Linked DNA regions of Medicago truncatula. The protein of the gene in region 1 binds, or shares a complex with, the protein of each later gene. Links are inferred from orthologs where the notes say so. Each region holds a gene or a part of one and is shown in the gene's direction. Other genes may lie near its edges.

The links.
Region 2: histone deacetylase 6 (region 1) and protein ASYMMETRIC LEAVES 2 share a complex: the UniProt entries of both Arabidopsis thaliana proteins name them as parts of the AS1 repressor complex. The link is inferred for Medicago truncatula from reciprocal best matches to the Arabidopsis thaliana genes HDA6 and AS2.

The regions. Positions count from the first base shown.
Region 1 is NC_053044.1:38,122,778-38,130,166, forward strand, and holds the start of histone deacetylase 6, read left to right. Parts: upstream 1-4,371; 5' UTR 4,372-4,447; coding exon 4,448-5,014; intron 5,015-6,063; coding exon 6,064-6,504; intron 6,505-6,609; coding exon 6,610-6,752; intron 6,753-7,389. UniProt on the Arabidopsis thaliana protein: Responsible for the deacetylation of lysine residues on the N-terminal part of the core histones (H2A, H2B, H3 and H4). Might remove acetyl residues only from specific targets, such as rDNA repeats or complex transgenes.
Region 2 is NC_053049.1:15,631,704-15,638,528, forward strand, and holds protein ASYMMETRIC LEAVES 2, read left to right. Parts: upstream 1-4,721; 5' UTR 4,722-4,828; coding exon 4,829-5,515; 3' UTR 5,516-5,536; intron 5,537-5,967; 3' UTR 5,968-6,308; downstream 6,309-6,825. UniProt on the Arabidopsis thaliana protein: Negative regulator of cell proliferation in the adaxial side of leaves. Regulates the formation of a symmetric lamina and the establishment of venation.

The DNA.
Region 1 (7,389 bases):
TTTCACATGTTGAAAAGTCAAGCTAAAAACTTATAGTGCAACTTTCATGTTGGCGGGAGACATAATCACACAACACACTAACATCAATGTCAGTCAATGTTTGTGTACTCATCAAAACCTCGTGCAATCTAGAAGGTATCAACACATCCTTGACTTAAAATTCCTCAAGTCAAAATTGATTCTTAAATCAATTTTAGGGGTGTTCAAAACTGAGTCAACCCAATAAAAAACCTTAAATCGAACCAACCCAATAAAAAACCTTAAACCGAACCAATCCAAACTAAAAACCGTATTTAATTTGGATGTATTCAGACCATTTTTTTTACTCAACACCGCACAGTTCAGTTTGCGGTTTTATTTTACCAATCGACTCAAACCAAAACAAATCACAACACAAGAGAAACACTAATTAAACTTTTGTCACACAGTCTAGTACTCAGTGAAATTCAATTGAAATTTTTATAAATAAAATGTTTTTTCAATTATTTTTTTTGACTAAGACATGTTTTTTCTCTTGTTAAATTTCTACTACGTTTTTTTATTTTATTTTATTTCAACAATGTATTTATGTACTTTAATTTAATTCTTTTTATTTGATACAAATGATGGTCAAATGCCCAAGAGAAAACCAAACAACTAGCTGGACATGCCTAGGCGAACAAGCCCCAAAAATATCATAAAAAAGAAACCTTTGAAGATCGCTAGGTGTATACTCCAATCTAGTAACAACAAAAGAGTCTAAATTAACAAAAGCTAAAGGTCGTCAGCCAATCAGCATAATGGTTTTCCTCCCTCCAAGTGTGACTAAAATGGACACGCCAATCAAAAGCCAATATGTTGCAAATACACCGCACTAACGTTGGAATGACTCTACTAAACTTACAATTACCGGTAACCATGTTAATAAGAGTTTTAGAGTCACTTTCCGTAATAAATTGAAGAATACGTTCTCGCTAGGCCATAGCCAAACCAAGATACATGGCCTATAATTCAGCATGAAGTGTGTCACACACTCTAATCTTCCTAATGTAACCTTTTAACCATATTCCATTAGAGTGGCAAAAAAGGCCACGACAACGTGAATTCTCTCCACCTCCTTTGCAAGCATCGCCACTGTTGAGTTTTATCCGACCTTCAAGGGATTTATCCCATATTATATGAATTGTCTCTTTTATTTGAAGATTGCAATAAGGTGGATGGGTTGAGCAAATATCTATCTCTCCTATAAAGTTTTGAATCACCATGACAAGGTTGTTTGACTGGTGAAAATTGTTTTCAAAGACAACATTGTTTCTCCACGTCCATAAGAACTATCAAGTTATCATGAAAATGGTCTTCTAGCTCTTATTAAAAATTTGGTCCCTGCAATAAAAAGTAAATAAATCAATTATAAAATTAAATGGATCAAGAAAGAGCCATATTTGAGTTGCATAGACACAATTTTGGTGCACATGAATGTTAGTTTCATCTTCCTCTTCCACATCTAGTACAAAGTGGAGATATGCCCATCCCCCACTTGCTTCTATAAAGATGGTAAAGATGCACTCTTGGGACGTGAGAGCCAGATGAAAGTTTGGATATGATGAGATCCTTTCCAGTCCTACATAGATTTCCATTCTCCTTCCAATACATGAACATCTCCACGTTGAACCTATAAGCACTTTAAATGGTAAACCAATGAGTATCAGTGGCTTCCAATCCCGTAACATCAGAGTCATCTGCATCTATTGGGGTTGGTAAAGGAACCACTTGATTCACAATATTTTTTTTACACTAAAAATCAACAATATTATTGAGAAACAATAAAACTCATATCTTTTTGGATATGTGTTATTATACAAATAGGAAAGTATTGGGTCCAATCTTTATTGGGTTCAGACCCGACCCATCTAGCTATATGTTGCGCTGTCTGATTACTAGATCTCCTTATCCATCTAACACTGATCATGTTCATCTTCTTTAACTCTGCATGACTTTCTTTCATCATTTCCCCCCAATATTTCCTGCAGAAATTTCCGGTGTTTAAATTTGAGACAACCATCTGGTTGTCCTATTCAATCACAACCCTACTTAGATTCATCCTTTTTATAAGCTTAACGGCTTCAAAAACTCCATGAGCCTCTGCATCAGTTGCATCTTCCGTAGACATGATCTCCCTAGTCTCTACCACAACGGAGTCCCCGTCCTTGCGACAGAGGATAAGACCTAAACCCCAATGGCCATCACCCAAATAGTGAGCATCCACATTGAGCTTTAGGTCACCCTTCGCCGGAGGAGTCCAACCAGTGTTACGGCAGTTCATCCCAGAGGATTGATGGTCTTTGAATGTTGATGAAGCCTATTCACGAGGTTGTAGTTCGAGATTGCGGTTTGAGCTTTGCGACAAACTTCCATAGCAGGTATGTCCATTCCTTTGAAGATTAAAAGATTTATGGCTTCCCATATGTGATAGATAATCGCTGTTATATGTGTTATGAGTTCAATTTATGTGTTGTGAAGCATGTAATCTAGCCAATTTAGAAAAGTATTGGTATCTGTGTTTTCAAAATTGATAGTTAGATCAGAGTAGAACCACACCCGTTTAACCCAATCGCACTTCATAAAAAGATGGTCTAAGCTTTCAGTAGCCTGGTTGCAACGAGGGCAAACTGGGTCAAGGGTGATGTTATGCTTGAACAAGTTTGCTTTGGTATGGATGCCTCTATGGTTGGTAACTTATCATGCAAAAAACTTAGGTTCCAATCTCCCTCTTGATTCAAAACATCTTGCACATTAAGGGCAATATCAATGAAATTATGGAAAACTAATGGGAGCTCGCTCCTGTTAGGAAGCCACTTATCCAGTCAAAAATTTGTATGTCTTCCATCCCCTAGTTGTCTAAAAACATTGTGTTGGAAATCGTTTTGAACTCCTACTAAAGCTTTCAACAAGGGGGAATCCAAAGGCTGAAAGTTGCAAGAAACCATAAGATCATTATTTCTATCATACTTGCCGATAAGAACTTTGCGCCATAATTCTTAGGTTGGCAATCCATATCCCAGTTCATCAAATGAACTTTACGACCCTAATCATATTTTGAATTCTACTTGCATTTTTGCTTATAAGTTAATGTTAGATATATTTTAAATCATAGAAACTCAATAAAAACTTTTAGAGAATGATAAAATATTAGTCTTTTGCATTTCTTATCGAATAGGTTACTTTTTGGTCCATGTTTTTAATCTAGTCCACGTTGATGGAACATTGTCGGATGAAAGTGTAGTGTTGGATCAAATTTGAAACATTGTTGAGGATAAGTCGTTTTTAACTTAATGTTGGAAACAAAAAGATTGTTTTGTCTTGTAAAAAACCGAATCAACCAAAATCACATTGGTTTGGTTTTAATTTTGAAAGTCAACTAAACCAACCCACATACTTTTTTTATCTTGCGTTTTTCAAATGACTATTAGTCTTAAAACTGAACCAAACCACACTGCGAACATCCTAATCAATTTCCTCTAGCCTAAACATTTTACATCAAACGTAGATCAGAAACCTTTCTTCTCCCTCTCGGTTCTTAATAACCTTTTCTTCGCTTATATGCACACAGCTAAAAGTTTAAATTTATATATAAGATGATGCTATAATCTAAAACGTCTACGTCACATAAAATAGATATTTGAGAAGATATTTTCGATGTAAAATTATAGTCTAAAACGTCTATGTCACACAACGTAGATAAATATCTTCTTTAACATCTACGTAGACGTTTTAGATTATAATTTTACATCGAAAATATCTTCTCAATTATCTACATTGTGTGACGTATACCTTTTAGATTATAGTCTAATTTTATATATAAATTTAAACCTTTAGCTGTGTGCGTTAGGGTTGGGAATAGGCTAGGCCAGGCCAGGCCAGGTCAGGCTTTGATAGGCCTGAGCCTGGCCTACGAAAAAATTTGCAGGCCTGAGCCTGGCCTATGGCCTTTCATAGGCCTATTTTTTTGGTCTGGCCTGGCCTGAAAGCCTATTTACAGGCCTACTTACTATTAAAGTCATCAAACATTCCATTTTATCTACTTTTAAATAGGCTTAATAGGCCTCAAAGCCTATTTCAGTGTAAGACTTGTCTATCACTATAAGGCCTTAAAAACTTATTTCACTATAAAGTTTTAAAGCCTATTTAAAAAGTCACTATGAAGCCTAATATGCATAAACAGGCTGACCTATTAGGCTTCATAGACTTTTTTGATAGCTTAAGCCTGACCTATTTACTTAAATAGACTTTTTAAAAAGTCTAAGCCTAACCTTTTTAATAAACAGACAGACTTAAACTGGCCAGACAATAGGTCCTGTAGGCCGGCCTGGCCTATTCCCAACACTAGTGTGCGTATATGCGAAGTGTCAAGGCACAGAGTTATTAAAAACCGAGAGGGAGAAGAAGGGTTTCTGAAGAAGAATTTCCAATGGGCAGCGGCGAAATGGGTGTAGCTGAGAGCGGTGGCGCATCACTTCCTTCAATCGGCGCCGACGCAATGAAGCGTCGCGTAACCTACTTCTACGAACCAAGCATCGGTGATTATTACTACGGTCAAGGTCACCCAATGAAACCCCATCGTATCCGCATGGCACACAATCTCATCATCCACTACTCTCTCCACCGTCGTATGCAAATTAACCGTCCTTTCGCCGCTGCGCCGGAAGATATCCGCCGGTTTCACTCTGATGATTACGTCGAGTTCCTCTCTTCCGTTTCGCCGGAGATTGTTTCGGATAATTCACACTCTCATTATCGGCAGTTGAAGAGGTTTAACGTAGGTGAGGATTGTCCTGTTTTCGACGGGCTTTTTCCGTTCTGCCAGGCTTCTGCTGGTGGATCTATTGGTGCTGCTGTTAGGCTTAATCGTGGTGACGCTGATATTGCTATTAATTGGGCTGGTGGGTTGCATCATGCTAAGAAAGCTGAAGCTTCTGGGTTTTGTTATGTTAATGACATTGTTCTTGGGATTCTTGAGCTTCTCAAAGTTCATAGGGTATTTTTTTTGTTTATACCTTGTTAAATGTTATTTTTTGTAATTCTGTTAAGTAACTATGAATATTATGCTCATAAGTGTTTTTTTACACATTCATGGTTTGTGTTTGTGCCCTAGATTTGCATTTAGACAGGACTTGAGTCGTGTGTGACTATAAAATTGGGAGTGATTAGTCCCACATTGATATGTCAAAATATTGGATATGCAAGAGTTGTGAGTCTGTGTGAGAGAAGTTATGAAAATAGCTTAAGACGTTGTTAGTTTTCAGATTATTTTCATTTGTTCTCCAAGATAGTTTATGACAATCTTGGACGCGGCATGACTATAAAATTGTGAGTAGTTAGTCCGCGTCGATTATGAATGGCCAAAATGTTGGATATATAAAAGTGGTGACTCATACCTAAGGCCTGTTTCATATACCTAGGGTTTGTTTGGATTGACTTATTTGAGGTTAATTATTGATACACATTTTGTGAGATTGTTTGGGAGAACTTATGAAAACAGCTTATAACATTCATAAGCTATTTTCATAAATTCTCCAAGGTAGCTTTTGAAAACAGCTTATACGAAAACAATTTAACTTTAATTTTATCTTTTTCTATAGAAATAGCTTATATATAAGCGGTTATCATGATAAGTGTCCGTGCTATAAGCGGCAATTCACGTTGTAATTTTATACTAAAAATTTTCCCCCATTAACATTCAAAGGAATTCACGTTGTATTTTTATAAGAAAAATTGTCCCCTATTAACACTCAAAGGAATTTAACACCTCTGTATTTCGTCATTTTCTTGGATTCGATCAAGAGCACTGGATCTATACTAGTTTGATATATAAATATATAAGTAGGTGTATTTAAAGTGGCAGTGAAGTGACCCGCCACATTTCTGATGGACCTATATTTCATTCCTTTTGTCAAACATAAAAACAAAATGGAATTGATACATGCTAGTAATGTTAATGTCAGTTTTCGTTGTTTTGTTGTCTTTATCACATTTTTTTTTTCTCTCTCTTTTTCTGACCTTGTTGTTCACTATGTTATTGGCCAGCGTGTTCTGTATGTTGATATTGATGTCCACCACGGAGATGGCGTTGAGGAGGCATTTTACACTACTGATCGAGTGATGACTGTGTCTTTTCATAAGTTTGGTGATTTCTTCCCTGGAACTGGGCATATTAAAGACACTGGTGTGGGCCCTGGGAAGGACTATGCTCTAAATGTTCCATTGAATGATGGAATGGATGATGAGAATTTCCGTGCTCTGTTTCGTCCCATTATGCAAAAAGTCATGGATGTTTATCAACCTGATGCAGTTGTTCTTCAATGTGGAGCTGATTCTTTGTCCGGTGACAGGTTGGGTTGCTTCAACTTATCTGTGAAGGGTCATGCAGACTGCCTTCGTTTCCTTAGGTCTTTTAATGTTCCTCTAATGGTCTTGGGTGGGGGAGGATACACTGTACGGAATGTTGCTCGCTGTTGGTGTTATGAGGTTCCTTTCTTTCTCAACTTGTGCAGGATTATATGTAATGTATTTTAGTCATGGTCGCCTATTATGTTATTTACTAATTACTGCTTGTCCTTTTCTCTGTTTTAGACAGCCGTAGCAGTAGGAGTGGAGCCTAGTAACAAGTTGCCATATAATGAGTATTATGAATATTTTGGCCCAGACTATACACTTCATGTCGAACCAAACAACATGGAGAACCTAAACACACCCAAGGATATGGAAAAAATCAGGTGATTTATATTAATTTCCTTTTGATTGTATTAGAATTGATCGATAATTCTGTTTTTTAATCATAATTATGAAATTGACTACTTGCCGTAAATAATTATGAATTTGATTACTCATGGTCTATATTTTTATTCCGCTAAGTTACATTCTGATGTTTGACTTTCCAGAATACTATAAATAGTTTCTTTCCATGAACAAGCTGTAGTTCACACCTTGAATGTGGCCCTTTCATTGTTGGAAATTGGAATTGTATTGCTCTAGGTTTTAAAATATCCAAAGGCAGTGATGGAGCTCGATCCACTTCTTTGAGGGAGCCTAAATAGCTAACTCAATTTGAAATTATACACATTAAATTTCTTAATTATATTAAATTTTGTTGTAGCATGCTGGCAAATATGTTTTTGGTAACAAGGCCCATGAGTTGGATTATCGGAAGAGATACTATATCATGTAGAGAAGTGTATTTTCCCTGATAGGGTGTGTAAAATTGCAAAAATTACTCACCCAGGATCGATACCGTGCCCTGGTTGGTATTTAACCACCGGCACTGCGAAAACATGTGCAAATGGAAAATGGTATATAATTCAGTAAAATTTATTTTTTGGGCCTGCCATGGCACCTTTTGTCCCTAACAAGCTC
Region 2 (6,825 bases), on another chromosome or scaffold:
GGTCTATAGGAACCATTGTGTTAAGCTACAAGAAGTCACCTTATTTAAGGGCGGACCATCACCCTTTTACCCTATCACCAGATAAAGGAACTGTCTCCAATCGCTGCGCAGACACAATAATTAACACGTGCAGTTGGTTTGGTTTAGGATCCTGCCATTTCACCATGAGGTGCGGATATACAAATCCTTTGTCATATGACAAATAGTGAATGTAATACTAAGCTATAGCGTGGTATGCATATGGTGATTCTCAACACTATGGCTATTTGTTAACCTCTTAAGCCAACTGAGATTCACAGAGATATAACTTCCTATAGTGTCAGTTTTACATTCAAGATTCCACTCCCTTTCACTCAATGGTGCTCAAGGGCAAAATAATATCGAATAAACATTTTCCACTCCTTACTTTGTTAAGGTAAGCGAGTTATATCATTTTTTTTTTAAGAAAGCAAGTTATATCATTAGAAGTAAAAGTTGTCAGGAATCACTTATATATCGCAAGTAAATTAATAAATCGCATGACGCTACAACTTTATATATCGCAAGTAAATTAATAAATCATAACTTCACCATGTCTAAATCACTCAAAGGGGTTTAGCTCATGGTGAGATGAACTATGGAAATGGAAATGAAGATGAAGATAAATGAAAGCATAGAAAACTAAATTAATAGAATAGATAGAGTTGTCACAAGATTACACTCTTTGAAGGAATAAGGTGAGTCAAAACGTCACCAAGTAATCTACTCTAAGAACTTTAGAATCTAGCCACCATGCTCATCTATGGTAGAAGATGAGATGGAATGTGATCTCTAAAGTGTTAACCCTAACCATAACCTGGCCTCTCCAAAGTACTAAAAATACTTAAAACTATAAAATCCTAAAATAGACACTGATTAAACTATTACTTAAGTCAATGCAATCACTCAAATACTTGTCCAATATGGGGGCTAAGTGCAATGTGATAACCAACTTATTTTCCAGTTATCAATGACATTGTGGTGTCAATGTCACGTAACATTGGATAACCACAATGTGACAAGTGGTTTTCTTCTTTATCTTATATATGAATTTTTTGTTTTTTATTTTATTTTTTAAAATAAGGAAAATGTTACATAGACACCCTTTATTTCCATACACTTTTGTACATCCTATATTCTAGGAAGAGAGAAGAGGAGAGGAAAGAGAAAATGTGCTTGTGCAGGGTCCACGTGACCACATGTCAGATTTTTATGTGGATGTCCAGGGATGTATTGCCATCTAAGAGTATCTATGTATCATAACTCTTAAAATAAAGGTGACACGTGACACACTGATTAGTATTTAAAATATGCAATTGATTACATGGGTAATTTTTTCTTTGTGTAACATGGGCTTGTCATTTAAACTATTTAAAATATGTAATCGATTACTTGGCTAATTTTGTCATTTAACTATCATATTCTATTTTTTATCATGCATGTATTAAACACATGATATGATAAATGTTTATCATATCTATATCATATCATGTTTTTATCGAGTTTTATATTCTATTATGTTTTTATCGAATTTTTTCATTTAACTATAACAATAACTCGTTTCAATATTAATTTGATGATATGGTGTACCGGTACACTCGAATTTTTGAGTGTGCCGTAAAATTTGCTTTTTTTTTTTTTTTAAACTCGGCATCCGATCCAAGAATCGACTAATTCGAGGGGACCAATTACACCGCCCACTTGCGGGGGCCCCGTTTAAAGCCAGAGCAAGCTCTGTATGGACTTAGCCCACCGAAATTGGCACCAGAGGGAATCGAACCTGAGACCTCTGGAGGAGCAAAATCCAAGATCCCAAACCAACCACTAGACCAACCCCAAATGGATTTCGTAGAATTTGCCTTATTTCTTACGTAGGGACGATTGGAGATGTTATTTGCACTCAAAGAAAAACACGTAGCCATATTTAACAAAATGAAATAATATCCTGTAAAATTTATATTTGTACTCTAAATTATTTATTATATTATATGCACAAAATTCGAAACCTCACAATTGCAAAAAAAGAAGTATTATATGCACACACTTGTAACGTACACAATATCAAGTCGGCTTACATTTTCACACGGGGAGCGGTTATGGGGCATAAGGAAATCCTTATGCACCGTGCATAAATCCCAACTCATTAACCGATAGCCCAACATAATTGTTTCATACACCCCCAAGCGAAACCAAACGAAACAACACTACAACCGCGGAAATCATCATTTTAGTTCAATAATGATGATTTCAGAATGTTGATTTGGTTCAATAATAGTCACAAATGTTCTTATTATATTATGTTTTGTATAAAATTATGCTAAAACCATTTTGCTGTGAAAATGGTTTATGTGAGTTGTAATCCAAAACCGTTAGATGTATTTAATGGTTTCCAGCAGGTTAAAAAAACTAAGGACCTAGAGTCATTGCCATCATTCAGTTTTGGACTGACACAATTGGAGGAGGAGGAAAGAAATGGTTTCTGTGAGTTGTTCTCCAAAACCTTTAGATGTACTTAGTGGTTTCCAGTAGTTTCTCAGCTATAAACCCCTCCAACATCACAAAGATTTCGAATATAGTAACAACTTCAGATATGAAACCGTGAACACAAACAGTTACGAAACAGTAACATATAGCAATCAACACAACGCCACTGGATCGAAGAAGAAAACACGAGGGAGGAAGAGGAGCGAACCGGCTCAACAACAAGTGAAGCAATGAAAATTTTGTTTGTGTTTTAATCTTTAGATCTACTCCTTCTCGTTGTATTTTTGCACGATCCGAGTTCGGATTTGGCTTTAAAACGAAAATGGATGTTGGAAAATGGCTTTAGTTTTTAAAAAGGGTGAGTTTGGTTCTCCGGCACGGCGCCGCCGCCGCCTCTGGCCAGCAACCACCGCGCGTTAGAATCATCATATGTGGCCGGAAGAGATGAAGACTCATCTGAGTTCTTCGTTTTCTTTTCCAGAATGTTGAAAATTGTAGAGAGAGAGGGAGAGTTTTATATTTTAGTGAGAGAAATATTTGAAGCAAATGAAGTTTGATTTGGTGTAGTTTGAGAAGCCTTGGATTATTAAACGTGTACACTAGATTTGATGGTTGTGAAGTGTTTATGCACGGTGCATAAGGAAAATCCTTATGCACCATAACTTTTGCCTCTCACACGAGGAAGTGTCTTCTGGCATCAAACATTAATCAACTTCATTATTTTCCTTAGACAACGCTGGCTTTCTCATATACATGACTTTCACCATTGTTTTTTGTCTTCAAATTCTCAGCCAGAAACACAAGGACCAAGGATTTTGTCCGAGGATATGAAATTCCAGTTGTAACTGAATCTTTGAAAATTAGTTATATATGCATATTTATTCATTGTTTTTGTCAACTTCCATACTTTCTTCAATCCCATTGCTAGCTCTTTTTTCTCTCTTGGATCTCCCAAATGAATCAATGATCATCATTTTTATTTATTTGTATTGTTATTTTAATGAGATAAGGAGTCTGAGAATTATATATACACTACCAAAGATTTGAAATAACGAAAAAAATTAGAAACCAAAAAATTAAATTAGTCACTAAATTTAAAGACACAATTTATCCTTTTTCGTCTCTTGAACTTTTGTCGTTATTTTAAATTTTTCTAATTTTTCTAGTAATCCGAAGGAAGTCTATAGGTTTCAAATCATATATTATATGATTCTCCGTACTGTTACACGGCGAAAAAATTACATGCTCGGTTAACATACTAAAAATTAACATAACCAAACAATTGAGATATAGTAAATGAACTTCAGCAAGGATGAATCGTTCGTGAGAAAGTGAGTTCGATTCTTATGAAGAACAAAAAAAATGCTTTTTAAAGATACCCTAAATTTCCTCTAGCTCTTTTTTTTTTTTTTGTGTTCCTATCAAAGACAAAAGTGTTAGGTTAAAGTGGATATTCATTCAAGTTCAACGACGAGTAGTAGGCAAATAAACTGAGAGTTAGTATAAATAGAGATCTAATTTTGAGTTTTCTTCGCCACAACGTCTCTTGTCTCTTGATGTATTGGAAACTTGTGTGTCATGATGAGATGGTTTACAATTTTTCAATACAAAAATTGTAATTGACAGGTTTGGAATTTAGTCCTTGTATAAATTGCAATTGTGTGTGAGTTGAGAGAGAGTAAGTTTACAATTTTGTCTGAAAAAATTGTATGGGAGGATTTGCAATTTTCTTCTATAAAAAATTACATGCTGAATAATAAATATTTTGTTGAGATATGGATTTAATAATGAAGTGACAACCACATTCTTGCTAGTTATTTTTGTCTTTTTTACTTCTTTTGTGGTTATTCTTCCCCTTAGTAGAGATTTTTTATTTTCTCAAGAACTTTTAAAGAAGGGTGTTTATATTTTAGTGTCGATGATATAAGCTAGCTAAATATATATTAAAAAAAACACCTGCACAAAGTGTGGTGGTGAAGGGTAAGCAAATTTCGACATAGTTTTTTTAGTCATAAATTGCAAAAGAAAATAATAATAATTTAAAGAAAGGAAAAGAGTGTGTGTGATTTAAAACAATAGATTTACCAAAAAGACCGTAAAATAATGGAATTAGCCATATAACACGCATTAATGGATCAGTTCTTATTTCCTTTTATAATTTTTTATTACCATTATTTTATTATTTTACAACATAGTAATAACAAACAAAAACATGGTGAATGCATCACAGAAATTAATGGTAGTGTGAAAGAGAGAGAGACAGAAAAAAGAGGAACAAGAGAAGGAGAAAAACAAGTGTTTGTTTGTGTGACAAAAACAAACTACCATGGCATCCTCAAATTCACCATGTGCAGCATGCAAGTTTCTACGCCGAAAATGCCAACCAGAATGTGCATTTGCACCTTATTTTCCACCTGATCAGCCACAAAAATTTGCAAATGTTCATAGAATTTTTGGAGCAAGCAATGTTACAAAGCTTCTCAATGATTTACACCCTCACCAACGTGAAGATGCTGTGAATTCACTTGCTTATGAAGCTGAGATGCGACTTCGAGATCCTGTTTATGGTTGTGTTGGTGTAATTTCTCTCCTTCAACACCAACTTCGTCAGCTTCAGATGGATCTTTATTGTGCTAAATCCGAACTTTCTCGTTTTCAAAACTTGAGTATCGCAGCGGCAGCTACTGCCGGTCATGGACTCATAACCGGCATGACAGGTGAGTCTGTCACGGCCGCTGCAGGTAATTACCACCACACGCAAAATACTGCTGGTGGTGGTAATAACAGTAACGGCCGTGACCATCGTTATCATCAACATCATCAGTTTTTTCCAAGGGATCAACATCAACAACATAATTTGGTTAGAAATTTTGATGGTGGAATTGGGAGCAACTATGATGCTAGTCTCTTGGCTATGAATATATCTGCTAGCTTAGGACAGATCAATCAACTTCAACATCATAGTGCTGCTGGTGGTGGTGGTGACGACCGCCGTACTGTTAACCGCTCCTAGCTAGGGTTTCTAATGCTATAGGTAATAATTAATGCTTTTTATTTTTACTTTATAAATTAATGCTCTTTTTATTTAATTTTGTTCTGTCACCTATCATCACTGAATCACATAACTGCATATGAAATATGCAATCATAACATTGGAAGAGACTCTTCAATGCTTTAATTGTATGCCATTCCTCATGTAATACTATACTGCACCTAAACTAATTAATTTAGAAAATATTCTATTATAATTTGTTATGCCTAAAACTATAAAATAGACAGTTTATTTTTTTTGAAGAAGAAAATAGATAGTTAAATCCTTTAAATTATAGTGAATGAGTTTAGTATATGAATGAAACTATGAATATTTAAAATATTTTAATTCAACTATATATATTTGTGTTGTGTGTATATGTATATATAATCAAGAATTTTATTTATAATATATATTTCTTTCTCTTTTTCAAGGAGTTTTGACATTACTAGCTGGAGAGAAGATTTCAACCTTCATTCTTCATTTTTGATGGACACTCAAAGACAAATTTGTTCATCAGTCAAAGCTCGAATCGGTTTTTATTTTTATTTTTTGTTTTATATGATTACAAAATTGTAGACAGAAAAAATATATATATGACGTCTAAATGAAGTTATGAAGTAGCTGACCAATATTTTACTATTGTGATTTTACTATCTCTACAGAGAGAAGAAATAAGTGAAGGGTTCCTCTTCCTCCATGGAAAGATTATCACTATTAGCAAACAGTATATTATCTTCTTTTAATCAATTACGATGGTACATTTTTGGTCAAACATATGGTGTTAATAAGCACTACATGAGAACTGTCACTTTTAGAATTTAATTTTTATGCTCTCGGAGAGTTAATATAGATTTACATGCCCTAAATTACTTTCCATCATTTAGATATTTGTATTGCAATTTAAAAATTTATATATATATACACACACATCTGTTTGGATATTTGTCGTGTATAACAAATATTTCTATTATCGTTGTACAGAAGATAAACTTTAATTTATACTAGATATAAGTTGACGAAAAAAATGTGAATTTTGTTTGATTTCATCCCTATGTGTTAGAGACGCTAATTTAGTGACGAGTATAAATTTATAGCCATATTGATCATGTTAAAATAACAACTTCTTTCCCGTGGTTAAAGGCGTGTCTCACAACCTTTACTTTCCGCGCTATCATGACTGATGGCGGCATCCTTTACCTTGTATGAGTGTTTTATTCTAACTTATATTGTTTCTTTTGTTTTACACTATAAAACATTATTTCTCAACCATACCAATGAGTTATACTCAA